7 linked regions of the Ovis aries genome follow. The main gene of each other region encodes a partner of the protein of the gene in region 6 in a complex. Links are inferred from orthologs where the notes say so. Each region holds a gene or a part of one and is shown on either strand. Other genes may lie near its edges. The genes, in order: DPF1, SMARCD3, ARID2, ARID1B, SMARCD2, SMARCA4 and DPF3.

Region 1 (3,500 bases), on a different chromosome or scaffold from region 6:
CCCCAAGCTCTAATTGAAACAATAAATCAGACCCAGAAATATTACGCCCGGCCGGGAGAGAGGGAGAGATGGTTGGTTGCCATGGCAACCCCAGAGCCAGCATCCCCATGGTTGGTGGGGGGAGGGGACCGCTGAGCTGGAGATTTTCCAGAAATGCCTAATGTGCCCCCTCCCTCCCAGGCTCCTTAGCCCCCACTCCCAGGGCCCCTCACCACCCCACGCCCTGCCCGCCTGCTCACGTTTATGGTTGTTTTTCCGGTGGAAGGGCAGGGCGTGGCGTTCGGCGTTCTCCTCCCCCTCCTCCTCAGCCAGGTGGGTGTGGGTGTAGTGGTAGCTGAGCCCTGGCCGATTCTTATACCGTTTCCCACAGACTGGAGAGTGAGCAGGGAGGGCCGGTCAGCCCTCCAGCCCCTGCCGCCTCCACCCTGGCCTCCAGGATCACACCTCCCCCCCTCTGCCAGGGTCCAGAACGGGAGGGAAGGGGGCCAGTGGGGGGCAAGGTCTCTGGGTCCCACTCTCTCTCTCTCTCTTCCCCCCTCTTCAGAAGGACTCACTATCACAGACATACGGCTTGTCTCGGTCCTCCAGGGAAGCGGTGTCCTGGCGTTTCCGGAGCCCCCCGATGCCGTATGCCTGAGGGGAAAGTCAGGAGTGAGGGGCCAAGAAAGGGAAGGAACTAAAAGAATTTTCACCATTTGGACTTGAAAGCCCAATCACAGCTCTGCCACTTCCTAGCTGTGAGTCTAGAGTAACTCTCTTGACCTCTCAGAGGTTCCATTTTCTCATCTGTGCCACGTGTAGGAAGATAGCTCTAACCCCCTGTACAATCTCTGTTTTGCAAATGGCTTAATATGCCCAAGTCTCAATTTCCTCATCTATAAAATGGGTATAAAAATCCCCTACCCCTTCAAGCTGCTCTGAGAGTTAAATAAGGTAAAATTGGGGCAGGGTCTGAACACTGCATAAGCAATCAATGGAACCTGCCTTGAGGGGAAGGGTGATGGGGGGAGGTTTGGGAGTAATACCTTTCCTTTGGCCCTGTTCTTCCTCCTGGGCATGTCATCCTCTGGGTCTTCCACTTCAAGATCATGCGGAAACTCCAACAGTTGCTGTTTCTGGGCACCAGGAGAAGGGAGACTGGGGTCAAGAAACGGGGTATTGTTCTGCTTTGGGAGGTAGTTCTGGACACAGCAAAGATCAGGGGTGGCAGGGCAAGTTAGGAGGTCTTCCCAAAAAGAGATGAAGTGTGGAGGGATGGAGACAGGATGCTCAAAGGTCCTAGGGAATCAGGGGAGATTTCAGAGCAGGAGCAAGATGGGCCAGGACACAGGCCGGTTGAGAGGGCAGCCACAGCCCCTGGATGGGTGGGGGGCTGGGCAGTCCTACCTGACAGTCCATAATGGTCTCCTCCTCCTTCAGCTCTATCTTCTTCTCCCCTGTCTCGGCACACAGGAGAGCCTCAAGGACTGGCCCCTCGGGGAGGCCACCCTCCTTCTTCAGTGGCGCTTCACAGTCTGGGGACAAGACCACGGTAGGTAGAAGGGGGGTCAGGTGAAGAACTTGTCCCTGGAGGACTCCTCAGACTGCCCAGGTTGGGGAATCATGCTCTTTTCTGGAGGAAAGAGGCTTTCCCACACTCAACCAGCAACAGACTCAAATACTCAACCATCCATACCACCCTCATTACTTCCACACATCCTAAGGATGCCCAGACCCTGGAGAAGACACAGTCAGACCATCAGAGACCATTGGACATACTCAGGAGAAACATGGCTGGACCCTCCTATATAACTACATAATACAAGTAGGAGACCCCACCCAGACCCCCACAACTGGAGAGAAGAGACATTCAAACAGGACATACATGGACATACACAAGGGAGATACAGACAGATCATCTGAGACAGCCAGAAACACAAGGGAAGAGGTACACCCAGACACTCAGATACACCCAGACTCACGGAGGAGACATAGCCAAACCCTTGGGCACACTCAGAGACACTCCAAAAGAGAACATTAGACCATCAGATAAACCCAGACCACATGGGGAAAACACAACCAAACCCTACCAAACACCTGAACATACTTAGGGGAGAGACACCAGAGAATCACTCAGATGGATACTCATACACACAGGTGATACAGACAGTCCCTCTGGGACAATCAGACACACCCAGGAAGACAGAGCCAGATGGACACGCCAGTACACCTGCCTGGACCTACACAGATCCTTGGTTATACCTGAGCAAGGGAAGAGAAACAGCCAGTGACTCTATCAGTGCTGGACACATTTGAGACGTGATAAAGCCAGGCACTCATGGCGCAGCAGACACGGGCAGAAACACACCTGACACTCCAAACAGACACTCAGGGACGAGACTCTCCCAGACATTCCAGAGCATCTGGTACTCAAAGGAAGAGAGACACTCAGGAACAGATAGACCAGACACACTTAAGAGGAAATAAGCCTGGAAACACCTGAAAAGAGACACAGACACCAAGACACGCTGTACTACAAATGGAAAAAGTTACAACCAGACACTCTGACACACCCAGACACACACTCAGACATCCACAGGAAAGAACAGGCAGATACTCTGATACATCCCAACTCACAAGGGAAGAGATATACAAGGATGGGATACACCTGGACACGCAAAACAGATACCACGCTCTGCCCAGGAATACCCCTGGGTCCAAGTAGAAGACGCAGTTCAAAATACTCGGGGAAAACTGGAGAGTGTCTGTACTACCCCCAGACACACACCAGCATACACAGCCCGTCACTCAGACGTGGGCCGGGAGGGTGATAAAGGCAGATGCTCAGAGGCACAAGGGCATCAACACGCTGATCAGCCAGTGGTGTGGGCACCCACCGGGGCCACCCCAGGCACAGGACGGAGCCCCACCTACCGATCTTGTACTCGCAGGGCCGGAGTCTGGGGTCTTCCAGGATGTTGAGCCTCCGTTTCTTTCTCCAACAGCGGGCCGGGTACGTATAGATCTGTCCGGGGGCCAAACCTGGAGTAAGAAGGGCGGTAAGAACGCGGCTGGGAAGCCGCCACCCCGCCCCACCCCCGCCCTCCCGGCCGGTACCCGGGCCGCGGTGGGTCTTCTCCATCCAGATGTAGCAGTTGTTCTGGGCCACGCCGGTCTGCGAGTCGAGGAAGGGCAGGCGCAGGCTGCGCTCGGCGCACAGGCGCGCGTTGTAGCTGCGGCAGTGCTCGATGGCCTCGCGGTAGAAGTCCTCGCCTAGGCTGCGAGGGGCGGGTAAGCGGGCGGGCGGCTGTCAGCAAGGGCAGGAGCACCCGGTCGCCCAGCACCCCTCCCCCAGCCCACCCGTCGGGAATGGGTGGGCCGATTCCTCCAACCTCACCTCTCCCCTCCGGTCGGGACCCAGGAGCCCCCAACCCGGGACTCAAGCGGGCCTCGAGCCAAGGAGTGGATACAATATAGGAACAGATAAAGATACACCAGGACACATCCATTCAGGCACATAT
Region 2 (3,947 bases), on a different chromosome or scaffold from region 6:
GCGGAAGGTGCCGCGAAGATGAATATTAATGGCGCCTTTCAACCTTTTCAAAGGATGCTCCTATCCACACGCTCCTCTGCAAGACAGACTGAGGGCCTTCTATCCCCACTTGACGGATGAGGCAACCGCGGCTCAAGGAGAGAGGCAACCTAGCCAAGGTCATGCAAGGCCCTTTCCTGAGGGGCCCGGGGTTTGTGCCCTCTCTGCTGCTTTCGTTTAGTTCAGGGCTGGCTCTCTTGCTCCGGACTTCTGCCGTCTGCCTTCCCGTTTGCCTGCTTCCCAGTCCATTTCCAGGGGGTCCTGCCTTCCCTGCCTTCCCTGCCTTCAACCCACTTTCCTCTCTGGGGCCCTGCTTTTGCCCCTCCGTCCCAATCCCTGCCCCCTTGCTCTGATTCCCAGCCTCTACCGTCAGGGGCTTGGCTGAATTAGCCCACCTGCATAATTTACTCTCAAGGTGAAGGCTTGGAGGTAGGGCTAGAAGCAGCTTGAGGGGCTGAGGTCAGACCTCACCAGGATTCTCCCATTGAGGGGAGGGGGGCTATGAGGCTTGACTGGTGATGGGTGGTCCAGAGGGCTTGGGTAGGTCAAAAGGATGGACATTTTCTCTTATATCTATCTCTCCCTTCCTGTCTGCCTGAATCACCAGAGATGGCCCCATCCTACAGACTACAACTACTCCCCACCCTACCCCAGTGAGGTCAGAAGTCTGGGTTCCCAGGGGGCACGGGGAGGCAGGTGAGGCAGGTGTGCGCCCTTGCTGCTACCCGGGTGCTCAACTGGGATACAGATGACAACCCAGTGCATCGAGTGAAGTGTTCCACAGACTCGTAAAACCTCACTTGTCCCATTCCAGAAGAGAGGCTGGGGAGGGCCCAAGGGGCTGTCAAGCGGAGGGTGGCCAGGATGTGGACGGGGGCCAGGAGAGCAGGAAGGAGATCAGGGAGCCACGGTCACAGACCCTGTGCCCCTGTTATACTATCTGAGCACCACCCACTCCACCCCAGGGGTGCAGCTGCTCCCAGAACAGGGAAGCGCCCTGCCCCTGAGCCTAGTGAATCTCCTCGCACTGCCCCCCTCCCCCGGGTCCCTCCTGCCCGCGCCGTGTCTAACCCTAACCCCCAGCCAACCAGCTGTCTCTGCCTGTCACAGCCTCAGCAGTGAGACCTGCCTGTCCATGTGTCTGCCTCCCCCACCCCACCTGACCCTGTCACTCACACCTCCAGGGTGGTGGCCCATAATGGAGCCCAGGCCCGCCACTCCCTGCCAGCACAGACAGGGCGCTGGGAGTGGGGCTCAGGCCACCCAAGAACTGAAGCAGTGAGTTGACTTAAAAAAAAATCCACATGTATACACTCTCTCACTCCTAGATGGGCCTTTTATTGGGACACCCCAGGCAGCAAGATCAGGGCTGGTCATGAGGCTAACCAACATGGGGACCCCTTGGAAGTTAGCCTAGGGACCCATGGGCCTGGAGAACAGGCTGCTTTGGGAAAGCCCCTTTCCTCATCAGCTGCTCTCCCATTTAATGAGGCTGGTGGTACTCACTGATCTGCTAAGGAGGCCCCAAGAGGGAGGCCTCCAGAGCCCCTAGAAGGCTGTGCTGGCCAGCGGGGATGGGTGACCTGCCCAAAGGGCCAACATTTTAGGGGCTCTGGCCTCTCTTACTGAGAACGTGTCTTCCTTGGGGTCACAACCAAATTTGGCCATAGTAAACCCGACTGCTTCCTTTCTGCCCGGCTTCAGCACCAGTGGCCGTCCCAAGTCCTGGAGCCTCTGCCTCTCCTATGCCACAGCCCTTCCAACCCGTCCCCACCCCCTCAGGCTCCCTGGGCTCACTCAGGCTCCCAGTGGGCCTTCTAAACCTGCCCCTCTGGTCTCCAGGCCTCCCGTCCCTGACTCCAGCTCTTCCTTCACACCTTTGAGGTGTTAAGGACATCAGCTTCTGGTGGTGGAGGCTGCCAAAGGATCCTCAGACCCCTTAACCTGGGGTCTGCCCCTAGAGAGGGCCTCTCTCTGGCCCTGATTGGCAGAGGCCAGGGGCAGAGCCCCGGAGCCCTCAGCCCAGGATGCAAAGGTGGTTCAGCCCCAGAGCTTCCCACTCACAGCGCCGCCAGGGTCACCTGCTCCTTGCTCCCGAGACACTGTCCCAGCTGATGAACAAGCAGCCCAGCGCAGCGATGCCAAGTCCCCCCACCCCCCACTCCCAGGGCAGGGGTCGCACCTGGGCTCCACCAGGGAAAGAAGGGAAGACAACCCATCGGGTTGTCCCCACAGGGGACCCACCCACCCACTTTGGGGGAGACCGTCCCCAAGTTCTACCCCCAAGCCCCTGACAGGAACCCATGCAAACGCCTGCCTTCCCCGCCCCGGGGCACCCATCCCCGGCCAAGCCGCCTGACGACGTGTTCGGGCGCCCCCAGGGCGCGCCGGCACGGGGCTGGGGCCGGGCCCGCTGGGCCGCGGCGCTCCCGCTAGAGGCGTGGGGTGGGGTGTGGGGGGAGCGGGAGCCCCCTCCCGGCCCCTCCCGACCTTCCCTCCATTCAGCCCGAGCCAGCTCGCTCGCCCTCCCCCGCTAACTTTTCCCCCACTCACCACCCCATGGACCAGAAACTCAAAAAGTTTGCTTTTCGTGGCTTTGCGCGCCCCTCCGGCAACTTCGTCCGCGGCCATCGGGGTGGGCTCAGCGGCGCCTCTCACTCTCTCTCTCTCTCTCTTGCTCTTTCTTTCCCTTTTCTGCCTTTTTTTTTTTTTTTTCCTCCAACTCTCCCCTCTGAGTCCTGCTGGGCTCTCTCACACTTCTACTCGAGCGGAGTGGGGAGGGGGCCCCTTCAGGGCTGCCCTGACGGCCCACGGCCCACGCCGCCGCCGCCGCCGCCGCCCGCCAGCCGCCGCGGCTGCCGCATTCCTGCACTGATAAGACAGAAATAGTCCGGCGGCCCGGGGTCCGCCTGTTGACTCGGCGGGGACGGAGAAGCCTGCCTTTCCCAAGCTTCGCCGGGCCCAAACAGCGCAGATAAGCGGCGAGGCTCGCCGGCCAGCGCGGCTCCGGGCCGCTGGGCAGCGGCGCCGCCTGCCCGAGGCCGCCCGAGGGCCGCGGGGAGGCGGCGGCAGCGGCGGCGGCGCGGGGAGGGGACGCGAGGGGAGGCGGCCGGGGGGCTCGCCGGCCACCCGGCCTCTCTCGCCGCAAATAGTTTTTCGCTTAGGGAATTCGCCGGCAGGGAACAGGCCGGGAACAGGCCGTTCCAACTTTGCCCCCAAGTGGCTCCTGCCGCATTTCTGAGGCCCTTTTCCCCAGAGACCTGGCAGGCCAAGTAGGGAAACATTTCGCTGGGAAGGAATCCGGGGTGGGTGGAGGGGGTGGTGGTGGCGGGGGGCGGGAGTCGAGCCCGGAGGAGGCCTTTCTCCGGCACCGGGCGGCCGTGGTGGGTGTGCCCCGGAGGCGGTGTGCCCTGCAGTCCATAGATGTGTGCGCCCTTGTCTCACCGCTGAGTGTGTCTGCACCCTGGTGTGGGCACGGCCGGCGGCCGTGGGTGTGGATGTTTACGTGCGTGCACAGATAAATGCCTCCTCTGTGTGCCTCCCTCCACCGCAGCCTCCGGTACGCGCGCGCGCGCGGGCGGGCGCGGGTGCGTGTGTGGCTGGACACGGTCTGTGTCTCCCCGCTCGGGGTGTCTATTTCGGGCTATGTGAGTCTTTGTCTCTCTGTGACAAAGTCGAGGCAGTAGGGGAAATTTCGGAGAGAGGGAGGTGGGCCAGGCTCGTGAGAACGGGAAGGGAAGCGTGGGGGCAGGCAAGGAACTGGGGTGGACGGATGGGTGGCGAGGCGGAGGCCAGCGCGACCTGACGGCTTTGGAATGGGCTGGGGGTGGGGGCGGGGGACCCGCAGGAGCTGGGGCGCTGGGTATGGTAGGGCCAATCTCTGGACCCCAAAGTAAGCAGGGGTAGGG
Region 3 (3,957 bases), on a different chromosome or scaffold from region 6:
ACGGCTGACCCCAACACCCCTTGTAGATATAAACTTGTGGTAGTATTTGTTGAGATGTTACGTCTCCCATTTGAACAGCCTCTTATTTTGAGCTTCAAAAATATTTTAAACCGGGATCGTATTAAGACATTTGAGAAAAAGCAAAAACATAAGATTTTATTCAATATGTTTTAAGCAAACTATAACAGACCTTAATATAAAAATATAAACGTTAATTATTATCGCCCAAGTTCAAAAGATTGCTTCCCAATCAGTTTAATTACTGTTTGCATAACTGCACAGAATAATCTAGTTTGAGAAATGAAACCAACAAAAGTCAAGATGAATTAAGAGCATGATTCCATTTCCACAGAACTAGGACAGACAGTTCACATTGTATTTAATTTACAGTTTGCTAAAGTTAGTTTGTGGGTAAGTCATGGAAAATGTGCTAACCAGGCCCCCCCTTACTATCGCCACAAAGCTCAGAAAAGCCGATTCTTTTAGACCTTATAAAAAAAAAGGTGACAGGTTGACTTTATTCCTATCAGTGAATGAAGCTAGCGTGAGGAGCTTCCCCTCTGGGCTTCCTTTCCCTCCCGAGCTCTACACCAGTTCTGTCGGACAGGCGGGGACTCCAAGGCAGCCCTTCCAACTGCCGGGCCGGGGACGCGAACATCGCCTCCACCCCTAACCCTGGAACAACCGGTAGTGGCCGTTTCCCCGCGCCTCCCCCCTTTCCGCCGGCTTTGTGTGCGTGTGAAATGTGCGGCACATTGCAGATGAACCCTAAGCCCGGCGAGCCGAGTCTATTGTTCCCCGCGAGGAGCTGCCGGGGCGGTGTGGAGTCAGGCGCAGTGCCGCGGCCGGCCCTCGGGGGTCGCTGTGCGGCTCTGGCTGCCCGGCCGTGGCGGCGACGCTGGAGGCGGCAGAGAGGGAGGCTGGCGGGGAGGGAAGCGGGCGGGCGGCGCGCAGCGGCTCGGCTGCCGCCGGTGCCTTCTGCCCGGGGACGCCCCGGCCGCGAGGCCGCGCGTGAATGTGTGCGAGGGCCCCGCGGAGCTGCGGCCGGAATACACGCTGTCACCCCGCTTTCCACAAACCACCACACAGACCTCCCCCTCCCCACCCCCAGCCCCGCCTGCCCCAGCCCCGCCGCCGCCGCCGCCGCCGCGGCCGCCGAAACTCCCGGGCCTCCGGCCACCCCGGCCCCTCACCGTCGGCTCGCCTTTCCCCTCGCCCGCTCGCGCGCCCCCGGCAGCAGCACCATGTTGAATCGCGTCCCCGGGCCGAGCCGCCTGAGCCGGCGGCGCTGAGAGGCGGGCGAGAGCCGGGCCGCGGGAGGGAGGGAAGGAAGGGGTGGGGGCCGCGCTCGCCCCGCGGCTTCGCGCGGATCCGGCAGTCGCCTGCCCCTCTAGTTTCGCTCCGATTTCTTTAAACTTTTTTAGAAATTCCCCTCCCTCCTTCCCTCCTCTCCCCCTGGCCTCCTGCTCCCTCCTTCCCCTCCTCCTCCTCCTCCTCCCCCTCCCTCCCTCCCTCCCTGCGCCGCCGCCGCCGCCGCCGCCGCCGCCGCCACCGCCGGCCCATGACTGAGCCCCGCCGCCGCCGGCCGAGGAATGGGCTCTGGGCTCTGGTAGGAAGCGCTGGGAGCGGGGGGCGCTTTTAAAACACCGATCTGGGTTTTTTTAAAACCTCCTTTGAAAAAATAATGGCAAACTCGACGGGGAAGGCGCCTCCGGACGAGCGGAGAAAGGGACTCGCTTTCCTGGACGAGCTGCGGCAGTTCCACCACAGCAGAGGGTGAGAGCAGAACCGGGGGGGCAGCGCCGGGGCGAGCCGGGGCGAACGGGGCTCTCCCGCTCGGGCCGCCGCGGGGTCCCGGCTGACAAGTGCGGGGCTTTCTCTCTCCCGCAGGTCGCCTTTTAAAAAAATCCCTGCGGTGGGTGGGAAGGAGCTGGATCTTCACGGTCTCTACACCAGAGTCACTACTTTAGGCGGATTCGCGAAGGTGAGTGGAAGTTTTAATTTGTATTTCCCTCTCGCTGGCCTCCTCCAAAAAGTCTCCTTTGACCCCGGAGTGGGCGCTCGGGGCCGGGGGGGTGGCCTGCGGGGGCCAGAGGCGTTCTTTTCGCTCCCAGCCGGTGGCACGGAGGCGGACGGCGGCGGGGCTGTTTTTGGCCTGGTGGCTCGCGTGCGCGCGGCGGGCGCGGGGCTCGGCGGGCGGGCGGCCCGGCGCCGGCTCGCGCCCTGCCCGGTGCCCGGCCGGCCCGGCGGGGTCTGAGCGCCGCGGCGGGGAGTGCGGGCGTGCGGGGCGCCCGCCCGAGCCCCGCGCCCGCCCCGCGCCCGCCCGCCCGCTCGCTCGCGAGTCAGCTCTGCCGCCGCTGCCGCTCTAGCACAGGCGGAGACACAGAGACACACAGACTCTGAGAGCAGTTTTCGTGCAACTCAAAATTAGCGCGGGCAGGTTTAACATCGATAATCGGCTGCGAAATGATCCCGGCAGCCGGGGGCACAGCCTCGGCCCCGTCGCCCTCGGTTTATACAGCTAACAAAAGAAACCAGGACCTGTCTCCAAATAGCCATCTTAGGCTTCAAGGCTAGGCAGAAGCTGTAGGCCTCAAAGAAGGGCCTATGGAGATGGATAGATCTGGGAGAGGGATCGGAATCGGCCCCGGCCCGGGCCCCCCCAGAACCTGCGGACGTCGCTGTCCGGAACAGTATTGATCCTTTTGAACTTTTTTTTTTTTAGTGTAAACGGACCGCGTTGAGATTTAAAAGGGGGCGACAGAGGGACTTGCGATTGGTTATTGTCCGGGCTTCAAAAACAAAACAAACCCACCAACATCCCCCCTTCCGCCCCCCAAAACAAAACAAGTGCTATTAAATACAGGGCTCTCGGGTGAAAACACAGTGATTCAAGCAGCCCTTGCTTAGCTACTCTTACGGATCGAGCCGAATCACCCACCGATTCCTGAGGGATCTGCAGATCTCTGTAGAATGGGTATTTATTCAGAGTTAGGTTTGAGTTTTCTTGGATTGTGCACTTTCAGACAAGTGTGGCTGTGTTTTTAACAGGTTTCTGAGAAGAATCAGTGGGGAGAAATTGTGGAAGAGTTCAACTTTCCCAGAAGTTGTTCTAACGCTGCCTTTGCTTTAAAACAGTATTACTTGCGGTGAGTAGTAGTGACTCTAACAACAGTGTTGGGAAATAAGGGATTTATGGGGAGATTTGCTTTAGCAAAAAGAAAAAAGAAAAGCCCCAAGCAAGAAACAAACCTTGCACATCAGTTTCTAAACTTCTGCTAATTTCAGTCTGAGAAACATTAAATATCCACAAGGGAGGTTCTAAGAAGGTGAAAGTTTTCCTCACCTATTTTAGGATTGTTTACATTTTTCATACAGAATCATTACAGGTGACACCCCATCCCCCATCTTGATAAACATTCTTTTGTGACATTGTTATTGATTGTTTGATATCCACAGAGGGGCAGAAAGGTGATGCTGAGTAAAAGAATCAAGATAGTTAATGAAACTTTGTATCCCTTGGGAAATTTTTTCTTTGTTTTGGAAACTCCTTTGCCTTTTTAAATTCTGACTTGAAGATATTGTTAAAAAATGAAACCTCTATGTGGAACCGTGTTACTGAGTAGTTTTTCAGAATATTTATGCATAGCATAGTGTGTTGGTGCCTTAAGTGTCCAGGATTGTTTTTTTTTTTTTTAAGAAATTCTTATGTTTTTAGAAATTTTTGACTGACTGAAAAACATTTAAAAGGATTATTATCTATTTAGGAAAATTAGGGATGCTACAAAATGGAATACTATAATTGGGATTTTCTTTCATTCTCCCCCTTTTTTGACTATTTGACAGAGTACATTTCTTATTTAGTTGGCATGCGCTATAGTTTAGATAATATATTTTGTGATTCAGCATTACTTTTTCTGAGTTTTTCTCCTAGGAATACTTTCATATTGTAATTAT
Region 4 (3,500 bases), on a different chromosome or scaffold from region 6:
CCCGGAGCCGGCGATTTATCTCTGAGCAAAGGTGCTCTTGCTCACCCCCATCTCACTCTTATTTTTTTTATAAAAGGGTGTCTAAAAACTAATTTAAAAAGCAATAACAGAATTATTTTGCAATTTAAGTATCTGAGCCTTAATAAGAAAAACAATGTCTCCTTCCAACAGCCACAAGCTTCCAGAAAGATGAGCCTCATAATTTCTGTTCATGCCCAGTCTTTCACGTGAGGCTTTCTTGTAGTGTTGGGTGAAGGAGGCCCCAACCAAATGAGCCCAACCTAACAGTCCAGCAGAAGTCATCAACCCTGTCTGAGCTGTGGAGCCACCAGCTAGCTGACATGGCAGCACCAGTGGGCTTCGGAAGGGGCACATAGGACCATCCAGTGTTCCCACTTGCACTCAGGCTGGAGGGAATACAACTGCAAAAAGAGAAGAAAGGAAGGGAATCCTCAAATGTTATATAAAATTTGAGCAATTGGTTTAACTTTCTGATTCCCAATGGGAACAGGTCACACGAGGCTGACACACGAAGGAAACATGAAGGCCTGCAAATGCTTGGGGAATATTTTGCCTTTAGATGTGTCCTGTATTAAGTAGCATGAGTTAAAGGGACAGTGAGTTTGAATGAAATGTTCAATTTTTGGATTCAAACTTCCTCACAAAGCTCTTTATGTCCATTTACTTAGTATTAAATGGTGCGTGAGAAACCAGAGAATACTCTCGAGAATGCTTAGTGCCATTTTTGGTACTGAATGCCAGGCTGCAACGGGCAGGCCTGTGACTGCTTCTGAAATCACAGGCAGAGTGCTGCCTGGGACACCCTGAAAAGCAAGGCTTTTAGCTGATCCCTCTGGGGCTGCAGCACCTGTTTGAACCACATCTGATGGGGTGTGAGTGACAATGCGGCCAAGGCCTCACCGCTGGGAATCACTACTACATTCAAGCAACTTCATCAGCTAAGACCCAACCTGGGAGTCCACTTGGCTGAGTGAGGTGTCCTGATGGTTCCTTGCTTCTGTGAGCTGGGTGAAACCCTTCGCTGGCCATCACCCACACCTGGTCACACCTGGTCTGCATCCTGTGACCCCATCTGATTACGCCTTCTGGAGTCAAGCTCTAATTGCTTTACTTGGAGGCCTCAGTCTCGGGTAGGAGGAGGCTCCTCAGGGAGGGCTGAGAACAAAAGCCTCTCCTGCAAGCCCTGCAGCCCAGATACCAGGGTGGGTCCTCAGTGATACCTGTGCATCAGCTGACCTACCTTTGGATAGTGAGGCCTGGAACACCTGAGGCCCGGAGCAGCTCCTTTCACTAGTCTGGGAAGGAGCCCAGGAACTGACAGGTTTTAAATGCTCCCAGGTGCTGCTAATGAACAGCTAGGTCGGAGAACCAAGGGCAGATAAAGGGCATGCGCTTCGCAATCAAACAAACTTGGCCCCACCACCTACCCTGAGAGTCCCTGGGCCACAACATTCTTGTACAGTCGGCCTTCCCTGTTCCCTGGTTCTGTATTTCTGAATTCAACGAATTGTGAATTGAAAGTACTGAAAAAGAAAAAAAAAGCCCCCCCCCCCACCTCGCCCAAAAGAAAGTTCCAAAAAGCAAAACTTGAACTTGTACCAGCAACTGTTTACATAGCATTACACTGTATTGGGTATTATAAGTAACTGAGAGATGATCTGAAGTATATGGGAGGTGGTGTGTAGGTTCCAGAAATAAAGAGGCTCGAGCTCACAGGGTTTCAGTATTTGTGGGGATCCTGGAACCAGTGCTCTGTGGACCCCAGGGGACGACTGTACTTCAATCTGTTACATCTCTTCTTCAGGGCTGATGACTCTGCATTCCATGGGTGTTGAGAGAGAAGTGACAAGAAAAAGGATGGTGCCCAGGATGCGGCAGGCACTCACCCTTGAAGGCCCTTTTCTCCATGCTACTTCGGGATATGGACACACAAACCCTTCCCAGGGCTAAAAACAGGGCTGTGACAGGGAAAGGAGAATGCGGCCCCTAGGGTACAGAATGAAGGGGCAAGTGCAGGAGAGGCATCTGCACTACCCCATAGGAGTGCCTCCGGGCACTCTGCACCTGGGTGCCCCCAGCTGTGGGAAAGGACAGCATTGCCCCTCCTGTCATCCAGGTACAGCGGACATGGTTGTAGAAGGATGACAGTTTTCTTGTTAACTTGCTCTGGATAGAGGGAAACAGTGAATTTGATTTATATCTGATCCAGACAATTTAGTCATTTGCAAAACATTTCTGTTTACTATGAAATTCTAACACAGATTCCACAGAATTCTAGAGCTGTTAGGGACCCTAAAGCAAAACCTAGCTCAAATGTCTCATTTTACCGTTGAGGATTGAGTCCACATAAATGACCTACTGAAGTCACTCTGCGAATGGGTGGCAGATCGAGGTCCCTGACCCCAGGGCAGCCCCCGCCCCCGACCTGCCACACGTGAACATGGATCCAGTGAAGTGACCTTCCCAGAGGCTCAGCTTTTTCTTTGTGAGAAAAAAAAATTCAAGTTTGCATATTCAAAGCTCATCCATAGCATCTCCTCATTCATCTTTTCTCACCTGTGCCAAACCTCCGATCTCTTTGACGCAGACATAGAGTCGGAACAGGTCCAAGGGCTTCTTGCCCACCGCAGGCAGACTTGAGACCGGGGAGCCCCTCTCCTCCATGAAGGTGAGGTAGCGGTCCACCCACAGCTTCCTCTCTGGCTCATTCCCCAGCTCATACACCTTTGTGATCTTTTCCCCAGTGGTGGTGGATGAGCTGGACTTCTAGAGCCCAGGGTAGCATTTGGAGATGGGGCATAAGTGGGCCAAGGGAAATGGAAGAAGGCGAGAAAAAAAGTAATGAGCTACCAAATACAAGAAGAGAAGAAATTTTAAAACTACTGCTATCACACAACAATCAGGAATGAAGGCTACTAGTTCAGGCACAAAGTATACATTTGCTTAATTAAAAATTTACTTTAACTAAAGGGCCCAAACTCCCCCTTTTATATACTTGAAAAACAAAAACAGAATAAAAATCTTTTTTACTTTATCAATATAAGCGTTGAATCCCAGAAGGCAAGACTCCAATGACCTCTCATGTCATTTTTTCTTTTTTTTTCAAAAAGGGTACAAGTTCATTGAATGGCTACACTGAGTTTAAAGTTCCAACTGTAATATTATAGAGCCCCCCTCCTCATTACATAGATGCCTACATTTCCTTGTCAAAATATAAATGACCAATGTATGGCTTTATTAAAACTAAATCATATGGAGGTAGAGCACATACATGATGTGTGTTGAAAAATACAAGGTTGGTCACACGTCATTGGACCCAGCGGTGTGTGCACTTTACATTTGAGAGCCTTCTAAATTAATGGCCAGTTACTAGCATTCTCTCAGAATGATCCGCTTTCTTGACTTAAGATTTCTTGAACTTTTCTGCCAAGGTAATTTTAATAGATTTCTTAAGCAAACATGTGTTCATCACAAACACA
Region 5 (3,373 bases), on a different chromosome or scaffold from region 6:
CCCGGGGGATCAACCTGAGAAAAATTGCTGAGCTCATGCCGGGAGCGTCAGGGGCTGAAGTGAAGGTAACAGGAGTGCCCAAGGGAAAGGGGGCAGAGGCAGGAAGCACTGGGTTCAGGGCACAGCGGCATCTCCCCCTTCTTTCCCTGCTCAGGGCGTGTGCACCGAGGCTGGCATGTATGCACTGCGGGAGCGCCGAGTGCACGTCACGCAGGAGGACTTCGAGATGGCAGTAGCTAAGGTACAGGGCCACGCCTTTCTGCCTTTGCTGGTGGTGACTCGAGCAGTGGGGTCGGGCACGTGTTCACTGGGTCTCTAACTCAAATGTTCTCTCTCCAGGTCATGCAAAAGGACAGTGAGAAAAACATGTCCATCAAGAAACTATGGAAGTGAGGCAGACGTCCTTTGTGTGGATCCCTCAAATAAAGCTCTACCGGTCAGGACCTTGAGGACTCGAGTCTGTTAATCAGCAGCTGCACTGTTCAATCACCAGGTCTAGGTACCACCAATAAACAAAGATTTATTTGGAAATTTCCAAACCTGCCAGAAGTGGCGTTTGCCAAGCCCTCGGCCCACCCTCCTTAACAGGCTCCAAAGAGCAACAATAGTCCTCCCCATCTCCCACTGCCCTCCACCGAGCACACACACACCCACGCCTCAGGCCACGCCAGAGAATTAGGGTGCCCTCTCCCTAGGAGGCGTTACCCTGGGCCCAAGAACTGGGGTGACAGCCCTCTGGCATCGCAGGAGATGATGGCGGCCAGAGCCGCTTGCATAGATTGAGAAAAGAAAATAAGGGACCCCCCAAGTAGGGCTCCCTGAAAACCCCCAACACACCCCCATAAAAAAAGTGGCTCCCGCATAGAAAATCCTGCTCCACAAATAGTGCAAATAACCCGAAGGAAAGGAAATTACCAGCAGCAAGGCTGGGCTGGTAGGAATGGCAAAGAACTTTGGTTTGGAAAGGCTAGGAAGAAAGGGAGCCATGCTCCTCTTCCTCACCCCGCTCCCTGGAGCCAGCGTGGACACTCGCCCCAAGGGGGTCTGTAAACAAGCAAAGCCAGGGGCCTCTGGTTCCAAAAGGTCTCGGTTAAAATGTCAAAGCAGAGCCTCCAGGTCCTTCTCAGGCCTGCCTGCAGGGGGCACAGGAGGCCTCTCGTGAACCCAGTTAAAGCCAATGTGTAAGTAAGAAGGCTTTGGAGGACCAAGCAACAAGGAATCCTATCACTACACTTAAGAAACTAAAGCCGGGGAGCCGAGGGTAACTGGAGATGCCCCTCACCCCCTCGTTATCCTACGTGTCTGCGCCCCAGAGGGTGGTCCCCTTCCAGGCTGAGGGCGTGGCTCCAGGCTGGGAAGAAAGGAAGGGGTCCCTGAGCAGTTAGGTCAGGCGGATTCCCAGCACCTGTTCCAGTTCCTGCCTTCGCTGCTGCACCTGGAGCAGGGACAGACCAGCGGCTCAGGCCCGGCTGCCCACCCTGCCCTCCGGTATGCCCTCCAGGCCAGCCAGGGCAGAGCCGCCTCACCTTGGCAAAGATGTGCCTCCCTACTGCTTCCTGGGCCCAGGGCTGGTGGTAGAAAGCTGCTCGTCTCTCCTCCTCCGGGTTCCCAGTCACATCAGTGATGATCTGTAGAGCACCAGGAGCAGAGCTGAACGCAATTCCCACCCCTGAGCCAGAAGAACGGTGCTGGGGACAGAACCCCCAGAGCTTAACGTGGGATCACCCTCAGGAAAAAGGGGCACACCTTGAGGTCCCGGCGCTGGGAACGGAGCCACTCCTGGATGAAGTCCTGGGGGTCAGTGCTAAAACTGAGCATGAAATCCCTCTGGGTCTTCAGCTGGTTGATGGACTCAATAGTCTCGTGGATCTGGGCAAAGGGGTACGTGTCAGACTGGCTCCCACCCCGACAAGGTCTGCTTCCAGCCCCAACCCGAAAGGACTCAGGTCCCATCCCAAGGTGCTATATAAATGGAAATGCCCGACACCTGCCCATGCTCACTGGGGGCCCAGAGGAGGTTGGGGCCCACCTTGACATCAAGGGAGGCGATCTCCTGCTGATTGGTGGTAGAGGCCAGAAAATTGCTCATCTGGGCCTTGAGCGGGTCATCCACCTCCACGTCAATGTCGTAACAGGCTGTCTTCTTCTGGTCGTTAGGGTCCACGCTACACGGCACACGGGAGAGAGCTACTTCCCTCCCGCCCGCCCGGGGCAAGACCACACACACCCAGGGAGCAAGAAACCAAACGTGCTGCTTTGCTTTGGCTTTAATTGAAGTCAAAGGCAAACCCCTGAGAGCAGCGTTCCTCCCCCTTCCCGTTTACCTGATGACGTGGTTGATGACAATCGGGTCTGGATGCTGCAGCAACCCTGCCAGCTTCATGGGAATCTCAGAGAAACGTAGTCGGCCACAGCTGAAGATCTGGGGAGGGCGCCAGAGGGTCGGTGACGCCCTGGTGGGCACATGGGGAAGTGGCCCGTCCCGGGGCGGTGTGGCGCCACAGGCAAGGCGGGCGGGGGCTGGAAGGGGAGGGGGCGGTGTGCCCGCTTACCTGGCGGAAGTAGCGGTTGCAGTTGATGTACTCGCGCTCGTGGCCGTCCTGCAGCTGGTTGTGTTTGATGTAGAGCCACAGGGCCTGCATGATGGCAGCCCTCGTCTGCGTGTGCACCCCCAGCAGCCTCGCCAGGCGGGGGTCCAGCTTGTACTGTGGGGGCTGGCATGGACAGACGGGAGTCAGAGGAGGGAAAAAAAAACCCAAAGCAGGCTAGGGCAGGGACAGGAAGGGTTTCCAATGGGCACCTGCCCCCGCCCCAGATGACAGTCCCCGTGAGCCCAGACGTGGCCTCAGGGCACTCGTCACCTGATGATCCAGCATGAGCAGGAGGGTGCACTTGACGTTCAGGTCTCCAGGCCGTTTCACCTGGAAGCCGTCTGTCTCCTGGGTGGTGGGCATCCGGTGCCACTGGCAGGAGGAAGGGGAGTCAAGCTCATCACCAAAGGGGCGGGCAACATACGCACCTGGCCCTGCAAGGGGACTGAGGCCATTCCTCTGCCCGCCGGGCACGGCACCCTGTGGTCCCAAGCCCCAGGCCCGCTCTCACCTCTACCAGGTGGTTGTCTGGCCCATACAGTTCCTTGTCCAGCTCGATGACGAGGCTCTTAAAGAAGGAAGAAAACTTCCGCTTCTGTTTACTAGGCTGGGGATGTAAAGGGGGTGAGACAGGGGTGCCATTGAAGGTTCAAGCCTAAGCCACATACTAAGCCCCGAACAGAGGAATATTGTTTCAGTCCTAAAGCTCAGGGTACTGAGGATTCTCAGGCCCTGAAAGAAGCAGGGAAAAGTGAGACCTGAGGCACAGAAAGGGTCCCTAG
Region 6 (3,520 bases):
ATGAACATAAAATCTTAAGGGAGACACAAGAACTACAGAAGAGGACCTAAAGTAAGCTCTGGACTTGGAAGCTCTCGCTTATCACCTGGTTCCCACAACGCCCTGGCTTCCCATGTCAGGACTTAGACTGCTAACAGGCACCTCCTGTTGACCTGTCTTCCTGACCCCACCATGGCGGCAAAGGGGCAGGGACTGATCAGTGCTCTCTGCATGACATGGTGGGCTTAAACGAATGAGGGGAATGGTGGTGGTAAGAGACCCAGAGCGAGCCCAGGCTGCTAGTCAAGATGGTGTGACATCCGCGCAAGGCTTCCCTTTGCTTGGGCCTCAGTGTCCTCCCCTGGGAGACGGGCCCCCTGGGACCTGGCGCCAGGAGGACAGGGCCGCAGACACAGTGAGGCCCCACCCAAGGCCCCAGGGCCTTGCACCGCTCGGGCGGGTGGCTGCAGACACTCACCCCATGCCAGGGGCCGGGAATGCACCCAGCAGAAGCCAAGACGTTTGTTGGAGGTTTAATTTATTACTGCTTGACATCCAGTGACACTGACATGCCCTCGCCGGGCCTGCAGACCCCAGCCCCGGCGAGTCTGACCTGTCCGATAAAATACAGTACAAGGAGTGGACGGCTACACGCATGCATCCACAGCTTTAAACTACAGTGATTCCAAACTGCGGCTGCAACAGTACTGCCAGGGAGAGGGAAGAAAGACAGGTGTCGTGTGTTCCCCAATTCATAATTCGTTTTTTTTCTCCTTTTTTCTCGTTTTAAACAGTTAATGCTGTTACAAACGCTATTGATGCCAGGACAGGGCCAGACACAGACAGTCCTACATCTTCTCTGCCGTATAAATATGGAAGATTTTCGTTTATACAGTTTTTATCCCAAGTCTGAAACTACATCTGCTGCTACCCGTTACTGCTAAGGGCTAACACCGTCTCGGCTCTGGAACGAGGGGCTCGGGGTCGAGACTCTGGAATGTCGGGACTCAGTCTTCCTCGCTGCCACTTCCTGAGCGGTCCTGGGAGGGGGACAGGAGGAGAGAGTGAGAGTCAGCCTGGCCCTTGGGAGCACCCAGACAGCATGTGGGATCTTAGTCCCCTGAGCAGGGATTGAACCTGTGCCCCTCTGCAGTGGAAGTGCAGAGTTTTAACCACTAGACCACCAGGGAAGTCCCCGACCTTTGCTTTAAATATACTTAATCACCAGTGCAGGCAGAACTGCCTTGTCCACTCTGAGGTTGGGGGTGGGGTGGGGTGACCTTTGCCCTCAGTCCCTGCAGCTAAGGTCACACCCAAATGTCATTTTCTCCCAAGGACTGGTCCCTGCACCCTCACATCGACTCCTTCTTGGTTCCTGGGAAGCAGGTTGGGCCTTCTCGGCTCTGTCCCATTGCTGTCTGTGCCCCTGACCTGTAGGGGGATTTTTGTTTGTTTTTGTGGCTGAGCCTCGAGGTCTGTGGTATTTGTTTCCTGACCAGGTATTAAACCCAAGCCCTCAGCCGTGAAAATGCTGAGTCTTAACCACTGGATCACCAGGGAATTCCCCTGACCTGAGCTTTAAAACCACCTTGGCTATTCCTGACCACGTACAATCTCTGCTCCTCTGTGTAAACATTTTCAACACCTTAGCAAGGGCCACAGAAGGTGCTGCTGGACCCAGACTGGGCAGACAGGGAGCTGTACAGCCCAGACTCTCCTGGCCACAAACAAGGCCACCGCTCCCCATGTTCAGAATGTGACTAATGTCCCCATAAGACCACAGACGTCAGCAGTCAGGATTATTCTGAGGCACCTGGTTTTGCTGTTACTGCAAATAGCTCTACAAGAAGACTAACGATGATGAAATGGTACTTATCAAGCTTTCTGCTGGGAGCCGGGGCCCGTGAAATGCACTTGACCTCCGTGCTTTGTGGAAGTGGAGGCAGGCTCAGAGGTCAAGCAAACAGCCCAGGTCCTGCAGCAGGGAAGGGCCAGGCGTCCAGGTGGGAGCCAGAGGGCAAAACTTATTAAAATGCAGCAAGCGAGTCTGTTCCTACCCCCAGGCCCACGAGACTGTACGGGCTCACTGCTCCTGCGGTTCTCGTGGCTCCTCCCTGGTGTGCCTGGGGGACCATCACTGAGGTACCACTCACAGCCCCGTTCATATGACTGTGGTCTATGGGACTTTCACTTTCGGTTTGCTTTTTCAACCCACTACCACGGTCCGGAAACCCGCTGAGACAGGCCAGGACGGAGCCACAAGTAGAGGCCTGGGGAGCACAGGGTGGTGAGGATACCACAGCACTGGGGGAGCGGGGACCGTCTCTCTGAGGGCATCTCCAGCTCCCTGCCTCCCGCCCCCTGCGGTCGGCCTGGGGCTGTGCAGTAGGAACTGTGTGGGTCGGGTGGGGAGGAGGGATGCCCTGTCTGAACCCCAGATGCCCAGTGGCTCCAAGAGCACTGGTTCCAGGGCTGCATGGACTTGGGTTTGAGTCCCACGCTCTGTAACACTGAGCCTTGTCTGTGCATTGGGGGTCTGAAAACATCCCACAGGTCTAGGACCTGGCAAGAGGAATGGACGCCCAGTGACCCGCCCGCCCTGGGGCGCAGGGACCTCACCTCTTCCTGCTCCTCCTCGCTGTCGTCGTCGCTCACCACTGGCTTGGCCCTGGACCCGCGGCTCGGCCGCCGCCGGCCCCCCTTGAGCCGATCCTGGGCCTTCTCCTTCCGGCCGAGCTTGATCTTCACTTTGACTGAGCGAGCTGGGGAGGGGACCACAAGGAAAGGAGACGTGAGCGCGGGGCCCCAGGGTGTCTTGGGGTGGATGTGACCTCCTGCCCCCACCCCCAGGACTCACACTCTGACTCAGAGCCTTCCTCCTCGCCCTCCTCCTCCTCCTCGCTCTCCTCCCCTTCACTGTCGTCCTCCTTCTCAATTTTCTGCCGCACGCTGGTGAAGACCGACTGCAGGACGATGGAGTCTTCATAGATCTGGGTGGAGACACACGGGGCTCGGGTCGGGGGCCCGATGAGGGGCTGCCTGCCCGCCCGCCTGGTCCCAGACAAGGGACAGCTCAATGAAACGGTCCTGGACAGAAGGTCAGGCGTTCCTCTTTTTTTTTTTTTTTAAAGTATTTATTTATTTGGCTGCGCTGGGTCATAGTCGTGGCGCGCAAACTCTCAGTTGTGGCATGTGGGATTTAGTTTCCTGACCAAGGATAGAACCTGGGTTCCCTGCACTGGGAGCATAGAGTCTTAGCCACTGGACCACCAGGGAAGTCCCCCTCCCTCCCCGTGAAGAATCGCAGCGAGCACCCAGTTAAAGGCTCTGAGAGGGCCTGCAGTTTAGCGTCGGAGACGCACGGCCTCGTTGAAGCTAGCATTCCCTGGCATGTGCGACTCTCTTTGCCAGGAGGCATTCATCCCAGCAATGAGGAAAACTGCCATGCTGAGCCTGTGTGTGTGAATCTCACCACAGGACAGGACCCAGCACAGAGCTGGACGTCCTTTGAAAAGCACCCCTGAATGACTCTGTAACAGAT
Region 7 (4,156 bases), on a different chromosome or scaffold from region 6:
GCAGCTCTAGTAACACCTCCCATTTGTACTTTACACTTTCTGAAGTGTTTTCACATCCATTGTTTCATTTGGGCCCTTCAGGGGGTGGTAAGCAGGGCTTAGCGCAGGGAAGGGAGGCCAAATGAGATGCATGCCCTTCTCCCCTTATGAAAAGATAGGTCAGATTTACTACCTCCTGACCTTCAAGCTGTCCTGTCATCCCAGGTGTTTCCAGCAGGAACACCTGCTGCCTGATGAGACCTCCACTGCCTGGGAAACCTTCGCTCCAGCCCCACCAGGTGACAACTAGTGCTGCAGCCTCTGGGGCCTCCCCATATCCAGACCCTGACCCCAAGGGAGTCCCTGCCCTCAACGGGTTGGGGGTGGGGGGGTGGTGACAAGATGAAGGCAATCCTCTGGCTGGGGATAAAAGAAGTGAGTCTCTGAGTTCCTGGGGCATTTATCCTCCACCCCCAAAATAGTGGTAGTCCTAAAGTGGGAGGCAGGTAAAGAGGTTGAATTCTATGATGCCATGAGTATTTTTTTTAAGTTTAGAAGAAAGGAGTTGCCTATACTATCTAGAAATGTACTCCATGAATCTTAGTGAGTCTAAAAATGAAGGGGGGGTCTAGGCATATACCCCAAAGAACTGAGAGCAGGGATTCAAACAGCTACTTACACACCCATGTTCATAGCAGTACTATTCACAATCGCCACAAGGTGGAAACAACCCCAGGACCCATCCCTGGATGCATGGATAAGCAAAATAAGGCATATATATACAGTGGACTATTACTCAGCCATAAAAAGGAAGGAAGTCCTGACACATGCTGTAACACAGATGAGCATTAAGAACACTATACTAAGTGCAATAAGCCAGTCACGAAAGGACAGATATTGTATGATTCCACTCATATGAGGTGCTTAGAACAGGCAAATTCATACAGACAGAAAGTACAATGGTGGTTACCACACTGGGATGGGGTGGGAGGAGGATGTCCTCATTAAAACAGAGGATGTTATTGTTTAATGGATATAGAGTGTGTTTAGGATGACTTTTTAAATTCTGGAAATGAATACAGAATATTCTGGTAGTTATACAACACTATGAATGTACTTAATGCCAGTGAACTGAACACTTTAAAAAAGGCTAAAATGGTATGTCTACATGTCATACATGCTAAATATACATGTTATGTATTGATACATCTTACCACAAGTACAAAAAAATTTAAGGGACTGCCTCTGTAGGCTGGAGGTCAAGGAGACCATTTTGTTTTTTCTTTCATTTTGCCTAATTCTCACAATTCAGGCTTCTGTGAATGTTCTGATGGTTTTAACAACCCCCTCTTCCTCCTTTAGACATGTAGAAAATTGCCAAGGGAGCTAGCTGTCAACCAAAGGAAAGCCTGATAATAATGCCTCCAGAGGAATCTGGCATGTTCTGGAGGCATATCACTGAATGAGAGGCAGTGAATTCCACTTTAGACACTGCTAATACTCACCTGCGTAAGGCCAGACTCTGTGTCTACTGAACACCTCCATTTCCTCAGCAGCATCACGGGGTGCAACAGAGGAAGCTCACTGAGACATCAGTACAGGCCCACCCACTGCAGTTCACTGAATGGTAGGGCATTTGCAACTGCCCAAATGGAAATGAAGTAAGCATTTATTTCCATGTTAACTGGGATGGGTGCCATGTTAGAAGAACAGTAGATTGAAGGAGACTGTAGATAAATGAAATCCAGAGAAGAAAATCTTTTGCTCGGTTCCCTTTCTTCCACCATACATTTACACAAAACAGGAAGAAAAAGAGAGATGTTCTCAATAATTCTAGTCTTTTGCACAACCAAAAACATAATCTGAGTGCTTGTAAACAGAAAAAAATAGGCCAATTAATCTTCTCATTTCTCTTTCCCGTCTTCATCCCCTGGTTGGAGTGTTAATGAGGAGAAAAGTGTTCAAAAGGGAGCATCAGAAGAAAAGACCACGTTCTCAGTGGGCCACCACCTGGCCCTCAGCCTTGGGCGCTGAGAAGAGAGAGATCAGAGCCCAGTGGCAACAGAAGGTGGCAAGACAGGAACCAGAGAAGATGAAACTACAGGAGAGCCTACCAGTCTTAACTCCCTTTTAGAGCCACACTTAAAAAATGAGGAGGAATTCAAACACTGGTCCCTAACTGTCCTCCTCATCCTTCCTAATCCACCATAGTCAAGAGGCCCCAGTTTTTTACTGGAAAGGAATTTGGCAATCAAGGTGCATCACCCTCACCTTTAAGACAAGGAATATGTGGCTCAGAGAAGTTCTGGGTCTAAGGTCTCATAGCTGGTGAGCAGTAGGGCTGAAAACTGAGCTCAAATCTCCGGGATCCTCTCCCTGAAGCTTTTACTTCTGAAGCTACAAAAGCATAGTCACTGGTGAGAAAGTATAAGAGGGATGGAGTTTGACATAAGGACATAGGGATGACTGGTGAAAGTTTGAGAACTGAAAAACCTTTTCTGGTGGAGCTTCCAGTTGAAGTTAATACCACAGCAGATTTTTGAAGTGAATATTCAACAATGAGAAAAACTCACTCATTTCATAGCAACCTAAGATGACAGCAAGCTCTGGACTCGAGGAGGGAGGAGAGGGTGCAAAGGGGGATTAGACACGTATCATCATTGTTCCTTGGACTCAGAACTAAGTCCTGGAGGTGAAGGTCTCAACGTGGGCTATTTGAACCCTATTATTAGGAGCTCCTGCCCCTCCCTGCTTTCAAACACAGCCCCCTAAATCTTAGCCTGCTTTCCTTGTAACCCCCCACCTACTACTACTATTCACAAACACACAACCTAGACATTTCCAGCATAGGTTGCTCCTCTTCTCCCCTCCCCTGACCCAAACACCTCCTAGCCACTGCTTTTAAAACTCTGATGCAAATCACAGGCTTCAAAAACCTTCCTTCAGTGACAGTTTTATGATGCTAGCTCCATTCATCCATATGGGTTGACAGACTGTGAAACACTAGTAACCGGACCAATAAGAAAAACAGATTACAAAAACACCACAACACCTCATCTCTCCCCAGTTGCTCACACAACTAAAGAAAACTTTGGAACTTGCAATAGATCATAACATCAGTCTCTCTTGCTGTTAAACAATCATCTTCTCAGAGTTCCAGACCACACAGTAGTTTTATCCACTTACCTATCCCCTCCGTATCCCCTCTCCCCAGGCCACTTCTTTATCTTTCCTTGTTAAATACCTACATGTTTAAAGATTATTTAATGCTAGGGTCATGCTTACATAGGCCCCTGCTGGAAAACCATGGCTGGGCAAAAACTGTTTCAGTGGTTGTGGCATTTCAGGGGCTTGCCACATTGGGCTACATTTGTCTTCTAGTGACTTTCAGAACACTCAGAAACCACAAAAGTTACTTTGCAGAGGTTGGGATAATAGACAGGCCTGAATTCTGATGCTTTTCATGACCCACACCCAGCACCACTACAATCAGGATGGCTGTACTTTCAAAACTGAAACATTAGCCTCAGTTTCTTTTCCTTTTCTGGTGCAAGCTCAAAACAAAGCTTGGTTGACCATGGCATTTTATTTTCTGCACTGATCTGAGCAGATGGCTCTGGAACAGCTTTAGACATTATGGTGTTTCTCAGATGTACCTAAATTTCAGCCACCTGCATGGTTCCAAAAAGACAAAGGAGGATGAGAAGTCTCCAATTAAGTTGCCTCTGAATTCCAGGCCACTTTCTAGAACTAAGCAACTCCCATTCAACTGGAGACCTCTGAATGTCTCCCAGGTGGTCTGCAACCGCAGCAGTTCTCTGTGGCGATGCCTCCATTTGGGTTCTGGCAGAAATTAATAACCTTTATGGGTATCTCATCAAAACCAGACATGCTTCCCACTGAAAAATAATGTGTGCTAATGAAGTTTAGAGAATTTAAGGCTTCCCCCCGCCCTCACCCCAGTGGCAACCAGAAGCAGATGGAGAAGGTGGTTCTTAGGCATCTGTTGGCTTAAAATGTCTGAGGGTCCTTTTTCATAAGGGGCTAAAATAATGTCCATAAAAAGCTGAAAGCTCACAAATCCCAACCCCAGTTTTCCCCATTTAGTACCTACCCAAATCCCCCACCCCAACAGAAAGAGCCAGAAGCAGATTAGAACCAGGAATGTGTCCCCTCT

Evidence for each region.
Region 1: SMARCA4 (region 6) and DPF1 share a complex: the UniProt entries of both Homo sapiens proteins name them as parts of the neuron-specific chromatin remodeling complex. The link is inferred for Ovis aries from reciprocal best matches to the Homo sapiens genes SMARCA4 and DPF1.
Region 2: SMARCA4 (region 6) and SMARCD3 share a complex: the UniProt entries of both Homo sapiens proteins name them as parts of the BAF complex. The link is inferred for Ovis aries from reciprocal best matches to the Homo sapiens genes SMARCA4 and SMARCD3.
Region 3: SMARCA4 (region 6) and ARID2 share a complex: the UniProt entries of both Homo sapiens proteins name them as parts of the SWI/SNF-B (PBAF) chromatin remodeling complex. The link is inferred for Ovis aries from reciprocal best matches to the Homo sapiens genes SMARCA4 and ARID2.
Region 4: SMARCA4 (region 6) and ARID1B share a complex: the UniProt entries of both Homo sapiens proteins name them as parts of the neuron-specific chromatin remodeling complex. The link is inferred for Ovis aries from reciprocal best matches to the Homo sapiens genes SMARCA4 and ARID1B.
Region 5: SMARCA4 (region 6) and SMARCD2 share a complex: the UniProt entries of both Homo sapiens proteins name them as parts of the BAF complex. The link is inferred for Ovis aries from reciprocal best matches to the Homo sapiens genes SMARCA4 and SMARCD2.
Region 7: SMARCA4 (region 6) and DPF3 share a complex: the UniProt entries of both Homo sapiens proteins name them as parts of the BAF complex. The link is inferred for Ovis aries from reciprocal best matches to the Homo sapiens genes SMARCA4 and DPF3.

What each region holds. Positions count from the first base shown.
Region 1 is NC_056067.1:47,409,509-47,413,008, forward strand, and holds part of DPF1 (zinc finger protein neuro-d4), read right to left. Parts: intron 3,258-3,500; coding exon 3,097-3,257; intron 3,022-3,096; coding exon 2,914-3,021; intron 1,515-2,913; coding exon 1,387-1,514; intron 1,116-1,386; coding exon 1,026-1,115; intron 634-1,025; coding exon 555-633; intron 372-554; coding exon 240-371; intron 1-239. UniProt on the Homo sapiens protein: May have an important role in developing neurons by participating in regulation of cell survival, possibly as a neurospecific transcription factor. Belongs to the neuron-specific chromatin remodeling complex (nBAF complex).
Region 2 is NC_056057.1:115,438,143-115,442,089, forward strand, and holds the start of SMARCD3 (SWI/SNF-related matrix-associated actin-dependent regulator of chromatin subfamily D member 3), read right to left. Parts: upstream 2,801-3,947; 5' UTR 2,671-2,800; coding exon 2,593-2,670; intron 1-2,592. UniProt on the Homo sapiens protein: Involved in transcriptional activation and repression of select genes by chromatin remodeling (alteration of DNA-nucleosome topology).
Region 3 is NC_056056.1:140,791,306-140,795,262, reverse strand, and holds the start of ARID2 (AT-rich interactive domain-containing protein 2), read left to right. Parts: upstream 1-1,157; 5' UTR 1,158-1,684; coding exon 1,685-1,776; intron 1,777-1,890; coding exon 1,891-1,984; intron 1,985-3,051; coding exon 3,052-3,149; intron 3,150-3,957. UniProt on the Homo sapiens protein: Involved in transcriptional activation and repression of select genes by chromatin remodeling (alteration of DNA-nucleosome topology). Required for the stability of the SWI/SNF chromatin remodeling complex SWI/SNF-B (PBAF).
Region 4 is NC_056061.1:81,557,612-81,561,111, reverse strand, and holds part of ARID1B (AT-rich interactive domain-containing protein 1B), read right to left. Parts: intron 2,788-3,500; coding exon 2,578-2,787; intron 1-2,577. UniProt on the Homo sapiens protein: Involved in transcriptional activation and repression of select genes by chromatin remodeling (alteration of DNA-nucleosome topology).
Region 5 is NC_056064.1:47,807,701-47,811,073, forward strand, and holds the end of SMARCD2 (SWI/SNF-related matrix-associated actin-dependent regulator of chromatin subfamily D member 2), read right to left. Parts: intron 3,199-3,373; coding exon 3,103-3,198; intron 2,964-3,102; coding exon 2,862-2,963; intron 2,715-2,861; coding exon 2,553-2,714; intron 2,423-2,552; coding exon 2,325-2,422; intron 2,166-2,324; coding exon 2,030-2,165; intron 1,870-2,029; coding exon 1,747-1,869; intron 1,629-1,746; coding exon 1,527-1,628; intron 1,436-1,526; coding exon 1,382-1,435; 3' UTR 501-1,381; downstream 1-500. Other genes in the region: PSMC5 (26S proteasome regulatory subunit 8), read left to right, coding at 1-65, 155-241, 340-393. UniProt on the Homo sapiens protein: Involved in transcriptional activation and repression of select genes by chromatin remodeling (alteration of DNA-nucleosome topology).
Region 6 is NC_056058.1:13,343,839-13,347,358, reverse strand, and holds the end of SMARCA4 (transcription activator BRG1), read right to left. Parts: intron 2,970-3,520; coding exon 2,837-2,969; intron 2,742-2,836; coding exon 2,599-2,741; intron 1,020-2,598; coding exon 987-1,019; 3' UTR 501-986; downstream 1-500. UniProt on the Homo sapiens protein: ATPase involved in transcriptional activation and repression of select genes by chromatin remodeling (alteration of DNA-nucleosome topology).
Region 7 is NC_056060.1:82,481,867-82,486,022, forward strand, and holds the start of DPF3 (zinc finger protein DPF3), read right to left. Parts: upstream 2,801-4,156; 5' UTR 1-2,800. UniProt on the Homo sapiens protein: Belongs to the neuron-specific chromatin remodeling complex (nBAF complex).